Drosophila melanogaster: one gene and its partner. The protein of the gene in region 1 interacts with the protein of each later gene in a pairwise test. Each region holds a gene or a part of one and is shown on either strand. Other genes may lie near its edges.

Region 1 (5,002 bases):
GGCCAAAAGGCAGGGGATCCCAGTTGTTGTTTTCATTTAAAGGGATTTAAAAATTCAAAGGGCAATTGTCACACACACAAGTGCATAGAATCGGCGAGAGCGGCAGAAGGACATGCAGAAAGAGTGGGCCAAACAAGAAAGAAACTCGTCTTTTGCATCGCTCTAACGGCCTCTTCTTATTGTTTACTTCACTTTTGTTATTACGTGAAGTTGCTGCTGTTTTTGTTGCATTTAAGCACATGCAATATACACTAAAAGAAAATCAGGATTTTCTTCACAAATATAAACATAGATTTACAATTGAATCGAAATGTTTTGTAGAAGTATCGTTATGTTTACTCTTGAGATCCCTAGAATTATATGTAACTTTGGTTTTAAACTGAACGTTTTAAGCTGAATCCTTAGAATTTTATTTATTTTTTAAATAAATATAAAGTTGAATCATTTTTTTCGAGTACTTCTGTGAGTTGGTGAGCAGGGAGAGTACATTCAAGACCCGTTGTCCGCTACATGAGCTATTCTATGGACACTCGACGTCTCTGCCGTGCGACGTTGATTCTATGCTAAATACGAGCAGAACAATGATAATGTCGCATGGTAAATTACATGTAATTATGTATTTTACCAACATTTCCCCATTTCACTGGCGACTCCTCCCCAGCCCAGACACTTTTTCGAGCACTGCTCTTTGCAACATTACCTCAGAACACCGTCGTCCTGTCGCTCGCTGTCCCTGTCACCGCTGTCGACACGAGAAAGTATGTTAATAACGCAAAAAGAGGAGTAATAACGAGGAGAAAAGAGTGCAATAATAGGGAGATACACCTTAAATTGCATCCTTTTTGTTGTCCTGTTTGGATTTAGTTCCAGGGCTACAATTAACGCAAGGCAATTGGCAGCAGGAGAAGCAAAGCTTCTCATGCAATTAATGGTATGTAGCTTATACAAAACATTTCATATTAGTGAAACTAAGTAATAATAACTTCAAAGGTTGTTGCTTTTATCTGACCCTTTTTCACAGTGTTTAGCATATAAGTGTGCTTACAATTGTTGAAAAGCTATTGCTGCTTTATCCTAGTTAGATATTATATTGTTAGATTAGTTTTAAAAGTTAATATTTTATGACCACTTGGACGCAAGGATGGATTCAGATGAAAAAGAATAGAAAATATTAACATCAGCTGGCTGTTCTTAACATTTGCCTTGTCCTGCAACGTATAACAGTTTTCAGGGCATGCCATAAAAATACTGGTATTTTCGAGTGACGAGGCGCAAAAGGACATTTCTGAAGGTTCTATTTAAAGCGACAAGTGGTACGGAAAATCATTATAAAAGCTCTGACTAAATTGGAAACTGAATTTTTACATGTAGATATTACGATTTTAATTTAAAGATATAACATTATATTTTTATTTAAATTATAAATCAGAAAACAAGCCTTGGCAGTCAATTTCAAATGTGGCTGGCGCTTTCGAAAAGCCTGTGCTCTCGGCTGCTCGGATTCTGCGCTCTGTGGCGACGGGAGCCGAAAGGACCTGAAAGGACGAGGCTTGCGACTTGTGAATGGCGCCTGGAGCGAGGAAACGAGCCAGTTGGGATGGCGAGAGGGACGGAGAGAGGGCCGGAGAGCAAGGATTCAGCAAGGAGCAGGCGGCGCGAGTGAGAGCGAGCCATTCGTGAATATTTCATGAACGATGGCTGCGATGGCAGCCAGCTTCGTGCCGCCGTTAACCGAACTCCTCGCCGCCGAAGAGAAATGTAGGGAAACGCATCCCGTCGTCGTCATCGACGGCAGAGGCAGCAGCAGCAGCGGCGACAGCGATTTTCACAGCAGCAGCGACAGCGGGAAAATCGGCAGCCTTTCTGCCGTCGTTGCAGTGGCAGCAGCGCCTCCGAATTTTGGCCAATGCGTGTGCTCCTGGCGTTCAGTAAGAAAAGCGTCGCCCAGCGGTCTAGTACGAACGTATACCGAACGCTTTGTATATCCTGTAAATTATATCCTGTGTGTGCGATTGATCACGTCGGCCTGGTTCGTGCGTAGTTCGAAACATAGACTTCACACCTTGCCTTGCCGTAGTGGCAAATTATTCTGGGCTTTGGGCTAGAACCTATTATTTTTTAAAGATCACTCAATCTTAACCTATACACGACATTTATTAAGCTGGTCTTATCACGCACTTGGAGTCAGTGACTTCTAAAGTTGCCAGCAAATTCGCGCGCGACAAAAACTCAGAGGCTGCCGGCAAAATAATAATTGCCATTGCAGCCAGCTACTTGAAACTTTCCCAGCGACTTTGAACCGGCTGAGCAGGGCTTCACTTTTTTGTTTGGCATTTTCCCCTGTTATTTTCTCACATATTTTCATTTTTTTTTTTTTTTTCATATTTTCGTTTTCTTTTTTGGCCTGACATTTTACATACCAGACATTGATATTAAAACAGAAGACGTCTGGCAGGCAGAGAACTGAACTCGTAGTACTACTCGCATGACAGGAATATTTATAATTTCCGCTGCCAGCAGACACAACAGAAAAGAAAGAATAATTTGCGATTACTGGCAGGCAGAAGGCGAAGGAAATCCCTGAAACGATATTACAAGCCAAGTGCGCTTGAGTTCGTGTATTTCCGGTTGAACAAACACATAAGCGAAACATAAAAGAAAGGCGAAAAAAATATACTTACATATTTTCCACATGCCCCCATACTTACGTCGATATATATATATATACATATATGTAGTACATAAATAGAGTAACCAGCCAGCACGAAAAGTGAAAATACATAGAGGCGAAGCAAGGCGAGAGCATATTTCATAAGTTTGCACTCCGCACACATAGAAAGTAGAAAGCAGCGACGAGAGCCAGAGAAAGCTGGCGACAAAGGCTAACGCACGACCTTTGGCACCGAGTTCAGATCCTGCGGAGGAGTCAGCAGCAAATCAATAAAGACAAAGACTCCCAGCCAGAGCAACTGCATCACCAGCCAACCCAGCTTCGCTTCCCGAGTCCAGCGACCAAAATTCACTCGCAAATTATGCTGACCATGTCGACCCTGATGATGCCAGCACCGACCATAGCCATGGGTGCCCCGCAGATCACAATGGGTCCGCACAAGCCGCCGGAAACGAAGCTGTTGGCCATCCATCCCGCTGCAGCGGCCGCAGCAGCCGCCCAGCAGCAGCAGCAGTCGGTGACAGCTGCTCATTTGCAGCACAATGGCCAACAGCAGCACTCGCAGCAGCAACAGCAACAGCAAATGTCGCAACAGCAACAGCAGCAGCAGCAGCAGCTCGTGGGCAACAACTCCAAGCCAGGTGAGTGGAAAAGCGAGTTTCCCGGGGTGAATGTCCTTTTCGTCCCGTTTCGGTTCTCGGTCTTGGTCTCGGTTTCGTTTTCGATTTCGGTTTCGGCGCAATTTCCACCGGCAAAAGGTGTTGCATAAATTGAGAAATGTCTCTGCCACTTTGCCCCTGAGACGTGTTTCGAATGCGGCAGACAACGATCTGCGTTTTGTTCTGGGGGGTACTATTCGCATCAACAACTGGAATAAATTTTCAATAGACAACGATTTCATTCAGCGACTAAACTTGTGTTTATTTGCAATATCAAAACTTAATTAAATGCATCATAACGGACTGGGCTGCAACCAAATAACCCAATTTTCTTTCTGATATTGGGAATGAAGGCAAATCTATGAAAATTGACAAATATTTTTGCCTAATTTATTGAAATGTCTATATGAAAACTCTGGGAAATGCAAACCGTTTAATATCATGTAAAGACCAATAAATCAAGTATTATTCTCAACAAAAAAAAAAACAAAAACGCCATCATAGTCATTTGCAATTCTAAACGTATTCAGATTGGGCTTCAGTTAGGATTTAATTGAATGAATTTTATTTTGCGATATAATTGCATTTCATTTTCAGCCAAGGATTTGTGCAGGCTTAAAAAGTTAGCAAATCATTCAAACACGGCCATGGCAAAAAATAATTTATCCTATTAGTTGTATCCTAATGAAATGCTGTTTGTGCTAAAATGTGTTCTATTTGTCAAATTTGTGCATTTATCTTAAAGAGCAATAAATTAGAGTATGCAAAATAACACAATATGCTACATATTATATATAATAATAAAATGCGAAACTTTAAAATAAACTAGAATTCAAGTGCAGCAAAAACTTCAAGCAAAAGCTCAGTTAACAACAACCTCTAGAGAAATAACAACAGCTTACGTATTCACAACAATGTCTGAACAATTACAATTCAAACCAAAAAACACCCCAGGCGATCGATATCAGGGCACGATAACGTACATATTTATAGAAATTTTGTATGCGTCAGATGGCCAAAATCATACTGGCAACACATTCAATTAAACGTGGCCCAGTCAGTCGGAAGTCAAGGAGGCAGATTTCGAAAATACCAATAGAGCACACGTATCACTTTCGGGCAGTTTTAAATGAGTAAAATTCCAAGGGGCCAAATTCGCACACGTAATCCGAAAAATAACAAACTCGAACACGCATTTCAGAGATGAATTATTGTGGACACCACCCCTCTGGGCTGAAAATGTCAAGCGTAGGCATTACAAGCATAAATATCAGTTACAATTTTCATATTTTTAACCACAAATGAAAAATTTGATACAGCTTGGGCAGGCAGGGGAAATTGCATGCCCGTAGAGATTTACAACTTAAAAACAACTTAAGCCGAAACTTGGAAACAAAGGCAGCAGCGATAGAGACAGAAACTGGGACTATTCTCCAATTTGTTGGCTCTACCAGCCCCGGCCCCAACAACACCCCTAAGTCCCTCAAACCGACAACGGTTGCTAATGGCAAAAACTATACACAAATAGACACTGGCAGGCATAAAACCGGAAACAACGGCACAGGAAGCTGCATGAAAATGAAACGAGGAAAAGCGGCCAGGCAAACCAGCCGGCCTGACTTTGGGCTGTAATGAAAAATGGAAAATGTCTACTACTACGACTGGGACGACT
Region 2 (4,958 bases), on another chromosome or scaffold:
ATATCTCAATACTGTAGGTCTGAGAAAAATGATACATTCTGTTTGGTCAGCTGCAAGTTGAGTATACTGACAGAAAAAAATATTTCAATAATGTGCGAAAGGAATTTTGACTGAAAACGCTGAGAATGATCTTTTGTTTGAGTGAGATTGATTTCACAGTAGTTTTACTTTCTGTGTACATGCTAATTTGATACCCCGCACCCATGGGAAGCAGCTTGAGGTTTTTCCGCGGCATTAGTGCATTTTCGAAATTGCTCGAGTGTGACGCATGCAGATCTCAATCTCGACCACGGGCTTTTCGTCGCCAGCGAGTGTCCCTCCCCTTGGAAGGCAATCTCACTTATGTCATTCATTTGACGCTAATTCGACATTTACAGAAAGTATTTGCTCGAGGAAGATAACCAGAAGTGCAAGCAAATGATTCATAATTGATTCTATTTTGACAATAATTGGGAAGACAGCACTGTAGGAAAAAGGGGGCAATATGATCATATTCCAAATAATATGAATATTGATCATTTTAATTTCAAATTGTGTATATTCTTAGTAATCATATTGTATGTATGGCTTTTCCATTTGGGAAAATCCGTATGAGTTATATTTTATTCCTAAGAATTCGTGTTGCATTCAAAATTGCTGAAACAGAAATAGCTGCAAAAAATCTTGATTTGTTCGTGCCAATTGTTACATTGCTTTAATATTTTAATCTTTAGTAAATGTGGGCAATCCATCGAGATGATCTTCAGCGCTTGTATCTATTAGATACACTTAATTTTCCATCTTTAGGGGCAATGACTCATCCCAGTACGAGTTTCATTTAGATAGTGCGATTTCGATCAATGGAGATACGAAATTCTATTTCTCTTTGTGTGCCGAGCGTTGTGGAAATACATTTAAATACGGAACAACGTGAGGTTAATTGTGCGGAGCACACTTGTTAATTAGGGAATGTCAGCGGGCGCGACAGTTGGCGCTCCCCTCACCCCTTCCCAACCCACCGAAATCCGAAAATAATGCTTCCAAGCCACGTTTTCATTGGATTACGTAAGCTGTAAACCAGTTTATGATGTTGTTGTTGTTACTGTTGTTGCCAGTGTGTGTCAAGGAAAAGCTAAACACAATTACAACGCCCTTCTGTCTGGTAATTAAAAACGGAAGCCATGCCCGAAGCCATAGTAGGCTGGCTAACGAGACCTGCACATCGGCCCAAACTGGTTGGCTTTGGCTTTAGGCCACTTTCGAGGAAAATCCGCCCACGACGAGCCGAAAACCGCAAAACACGTCCGCCAGTGGAAATCGCATCGAAAGTTTTGCGGTTTCGAGCCATTTTTCCATTAACTCGAAATTCTAGAAGATCAATTCAAATCAATGTTCATGTGAGATTTTCCTTATGAATACCTGTATTTTTATATACCGAGATACGTATGTACAAACAATCTTATCCTACAATTTCCTGTTTTTGAGGCAGCTTTATCTTATAAAAACTGTTCGAAACAAAATTATAATTTCCATATACATATCTTCAACGTGAGGTTTTTGCTCCCTTTTTTCTGTTCTTAATTTTCCTATTGGCCAGGCAATAGTGCATTTGCATAAATAAAACATTTATTGGTAGTAAAAGTTAAACAAATATGTACGTAATTCCCGAAACATTTCAAATTTGCATAAATAAACAAACGCGATTGGTAACAGAGAGCGGAAAAACAAGTTACAGTAATTACCGTTGGGAGGGGGTGACGAAACAAACCAAAACAAAACGAATTATGCTCGTGTGAGTGTGCGCGACGCAACAGGTTGAGGCTGCTTGGCGCAGCTTTTGACCGATCAGTTTAGTTCAGTTAGCATTGTCAACTGCTCACGAACGGTTCGAAAAGCGGAGCGCGCGTAAAATCATTCTGTAAATCATTCAAAAGGCGGAAAACTCAAGGTGTGTGTGTGGGTTTTGTTTTCAAATTCCGTGTGCTTGTGTGTGTGAGAGAGGGCGAGAGCGACAGTGTCGTAGCAGGCAGTGTTGTAAGGTGCCGAAACAGCGATCCCAACCGGCACACTAGTTGTCCTGCTCGCACTCCAGTGAGGCAAATGTCAAAGTCTGGTCAGTAGCAAAACAGAATTGCAGCCAAGAAAAGCGGAATCAGCGACAAAATTAGCCATTAGTTGGGTTTTACATATAGATTAGGCCAGCGAAACGACATAACGCTCCAAGTGGTAAAGTGAGACCTGCCAGTGGCGGCACCCAACCCGAAAAAGCCTAACCAGCGACCACTTTCCAGTTATCCAATGGAGGCGGCCAAGGATTTTGCGGTGGCCAAGTACCAGGACTTATGTAACTTCCTGGAGCGGGATACGCGCGGCAGTGAGCTGGCCATCTATGGCACCTCGGCCATCATGCTGGCCGTGGCCTATGCCAAACGGAAGCCGGCCTACCTGGTGCGCCAGTTTAAGCAGCCCTCGCACATCCCGGAGCGCCTGATCAACGAGCGCGTCATGCACACGGGCAAGATCGCCGGGGTCAAGCAGCAGGAGCAGGACACCCTGCTGATGATCCAGCACCGGCCGCTTTTCCCGATCTTCACTAGCAGCAAACGCCTGCTGCCCGTCAAACTGCCGGGCGTGCGCGTCAATGCCAACGGCTACTCCTGGCTGCAGCAGTGTCTCATTGGGCGCGAGGCCACCTTTCTGCCCCTTAAATCCGCCAAGGGACAGGACTTTGTTGTCTGCCAGCTGTGCCTGGTCCATCCGCCGAGGGGCAACCGCCTGCTGGACGTCTCGGAGACCCTGCTCAAGCTCCGCTTCGCCCGATTCGTGCAGGATGCCGCCGCCGCGGTTAAGAAGAACGGGAAGTACTACCAGCATCTGAAGAAGGTGGAGCAGACCACAGCGGAAAAGGAGGCCTGGCTCTCCTGGGCCGCCGGCTATCCCTACATCTGGCGCCGCTACAACGAACTGAGGCAGCGCTGGTTGCCCAAGGAGAAGCTGCTGCCGGAGCTAGTGCGCTGATTGCGATCTCCCCGTTCCTGCCTCGATGCTATTTACAGGGCTACCTAGCTCGCCACCATTAACTTAGTTCCATGGCCAGCTACTCTCTATATTTTTATTATGCCTGTTTACTAGCTTGTGCATTTGTGTCTTAGTGTTGCTTGCTATCTATTGTTATACGATTGGCAAATATCATATACGATATAAGACAGCATTTGTTTACAAACCCTCGAGCACAAGTACACAAGTCAGTCTCAAAAGCTTATTAGTAAGGGGAATAGCTAGCGCGACTTGCCCAACGCGACTTTCGATGCCCAGGCGGTACGTGATCGTGTGCTAATTTCCACACCCAGTAGAGCCAAGAACGTCAGCATTTTTTAAATATTCAAATAAGCGAAATGTTTTTACCACGGATGACATCAGTGCGTGTGCCTGTGTGTGTACGTGTGCGTGTTTCCCAAATAAAATGCCGAAATACCTAACTTTTCACGCTTGTATCTGAATTTCTTAATTCCATTCCATTTTTTTCGTCTCCCGAACGATCAGTTGCAGTTCTTCATCCATCTCCACCAGCAATCTCTGGCAAAACTCAGGCAAAATGAGCTGCGGAATCTCCATGGTTAAATATATCCTATTTATATTTAATTTGCTCTGTTCGGTGAGTAGCATAGATACATTTAAGATTACATAATTTCGAGCGGCCAAGCTTAGATCGACTTCTCAGCCTTTTAGGCTGGCAGTGAGATCATAACTTTCGTGCGGAATAAACTGGTTTTCCCAAAATTGGTGTTTTCAGTATTGAAAGGCTGAGAAAGTCGAGGCCCACAAAAGTGGTGAGCATGAGTACATTTTAAAGCCACAGAAGGCACTCTCGTTAAATGCATTTTTGTATTTTTGTGTTCTTTAGGTCGGCTTTCATATTTACATATCATGAAATTAAACATATCTCAATTAATGTTTATTAAGGACCCTTAAAGTAGGATCTATTATAGCATTTATGGTGTCTCTTTTCCGGTCAGCACTATCACTTTCCGGTTACGAAACGCACTGTACGTGCAAAGTGGGGGCAGAGCTTGAGATCATCATCAGTATTCCAAAACCAGTTATTAAAATTGGGCTACGTTTGTGACGTAGCGGTATCCGAAAAATTCTGTATAATTTTGTGTACACTACGTACACTTTTGTTTACTTTGGAGTCCCAAAACCAGTTTGTGTTGTTTCGGTCCCCACAACCGAGCCCCACATCCACAAACATGCATCCCATTAGTCGGAGTCAGTCCGAGGTTAACTGGTTCCAAATGGCAACCAAACAATCATTGAAACGCCAGCAACGGTGGCATTTCGATATGGTTTTGCAACTTCTAACTCACTGCCCCAAAGTCACTGCACCGCCAGGTGGAACTGTACTTCGTCCAACCAGTTTGGGGCTGGGACCCTGACTTGCTGCTGGTGGGAAATCTGACTGCGTCGGAGTACCAGCGCATTATTCGCGTCACGCAAACATGGATGTCATTCACTACGGGCGGAAAAACATCAGCACACGGCGCTAATTCTTCAATCGTATGCAGTATACGGATATAGAAAATTTACAAAACAAAACCATTTTTTGTTGATGGGAAATCGGTAAACGAGATGGATGACCTATCTACTTGAAATAGGTCATTTGATTTGTTCAAGAGTTCCAATCCGCAGTTCTCCAACCTTTTTGATAATTTAAAGTAGCTGCAATTAACTTAAGAACCAACATGGAAACATACAAATATTTTGTCTGTGTGTAAAGTCTGCCGCCACTTCAGTGGAAAGTTGTGTAATGGTTCAAGAGGGGGGGGGGGGGGGGGAAGGGGGTCTCACCCAAAAATAGTTGACTTAATTTAATGTGAACTTGCTCCCATTGTGAGACGACGAGCCAAAACTCGGAAACAACGAAATATCATCTACACACGCACATCATGGAATGGAAACACGGGGGTCGTTGGCGGTAC

Evidence for each region.
Region 2: the proteins of CG34354 (region 1) and Tsp42Ea interact in a two-hybrid assay, tested with the Drosophila melanogaster proteins (one large-scale study listed by BioGRID).

Annotation. Positions count from the first base shown.
Region 1 is NT_033777.3:28,144,940-28,149,941, forward strand, and holds the start of CG34354 (uncharacterized protein), read left to right. Parts: upstream 1-1,940; 5' UTR 1,941-1,988; exon of another isoform or gene 1,989-2,029; intron 2,030-2,560; 5' UTR 2,561-3,032; coding exon 3,033-3,312; intron 3,313-5,002.
Region 2 is NT_033778.4:6,990,851-6,995,808, forward strand, and holds the start of Tsp42Ea (tetraspanin 42Ea), read left to right. Parts: upstream 1-1,825; 5' UTR 1,826-1,927; exon of another isoform or gene 1,928-2,210; intron 2,211-2,270; exon of another isoform or gene 2,271-2,277; coding exon of another isoform or gene 2,278-2,997; exon of another isoform or gene 2,998-3,456; intron 3,457-3,522; 5' UTR 3,523-3,574; coding exon 3,575-3,634; intron 3,635-4,958. Other genes in the region: CG30159 (uncharacterized protein), read left to right, coding at 2,278-2,997.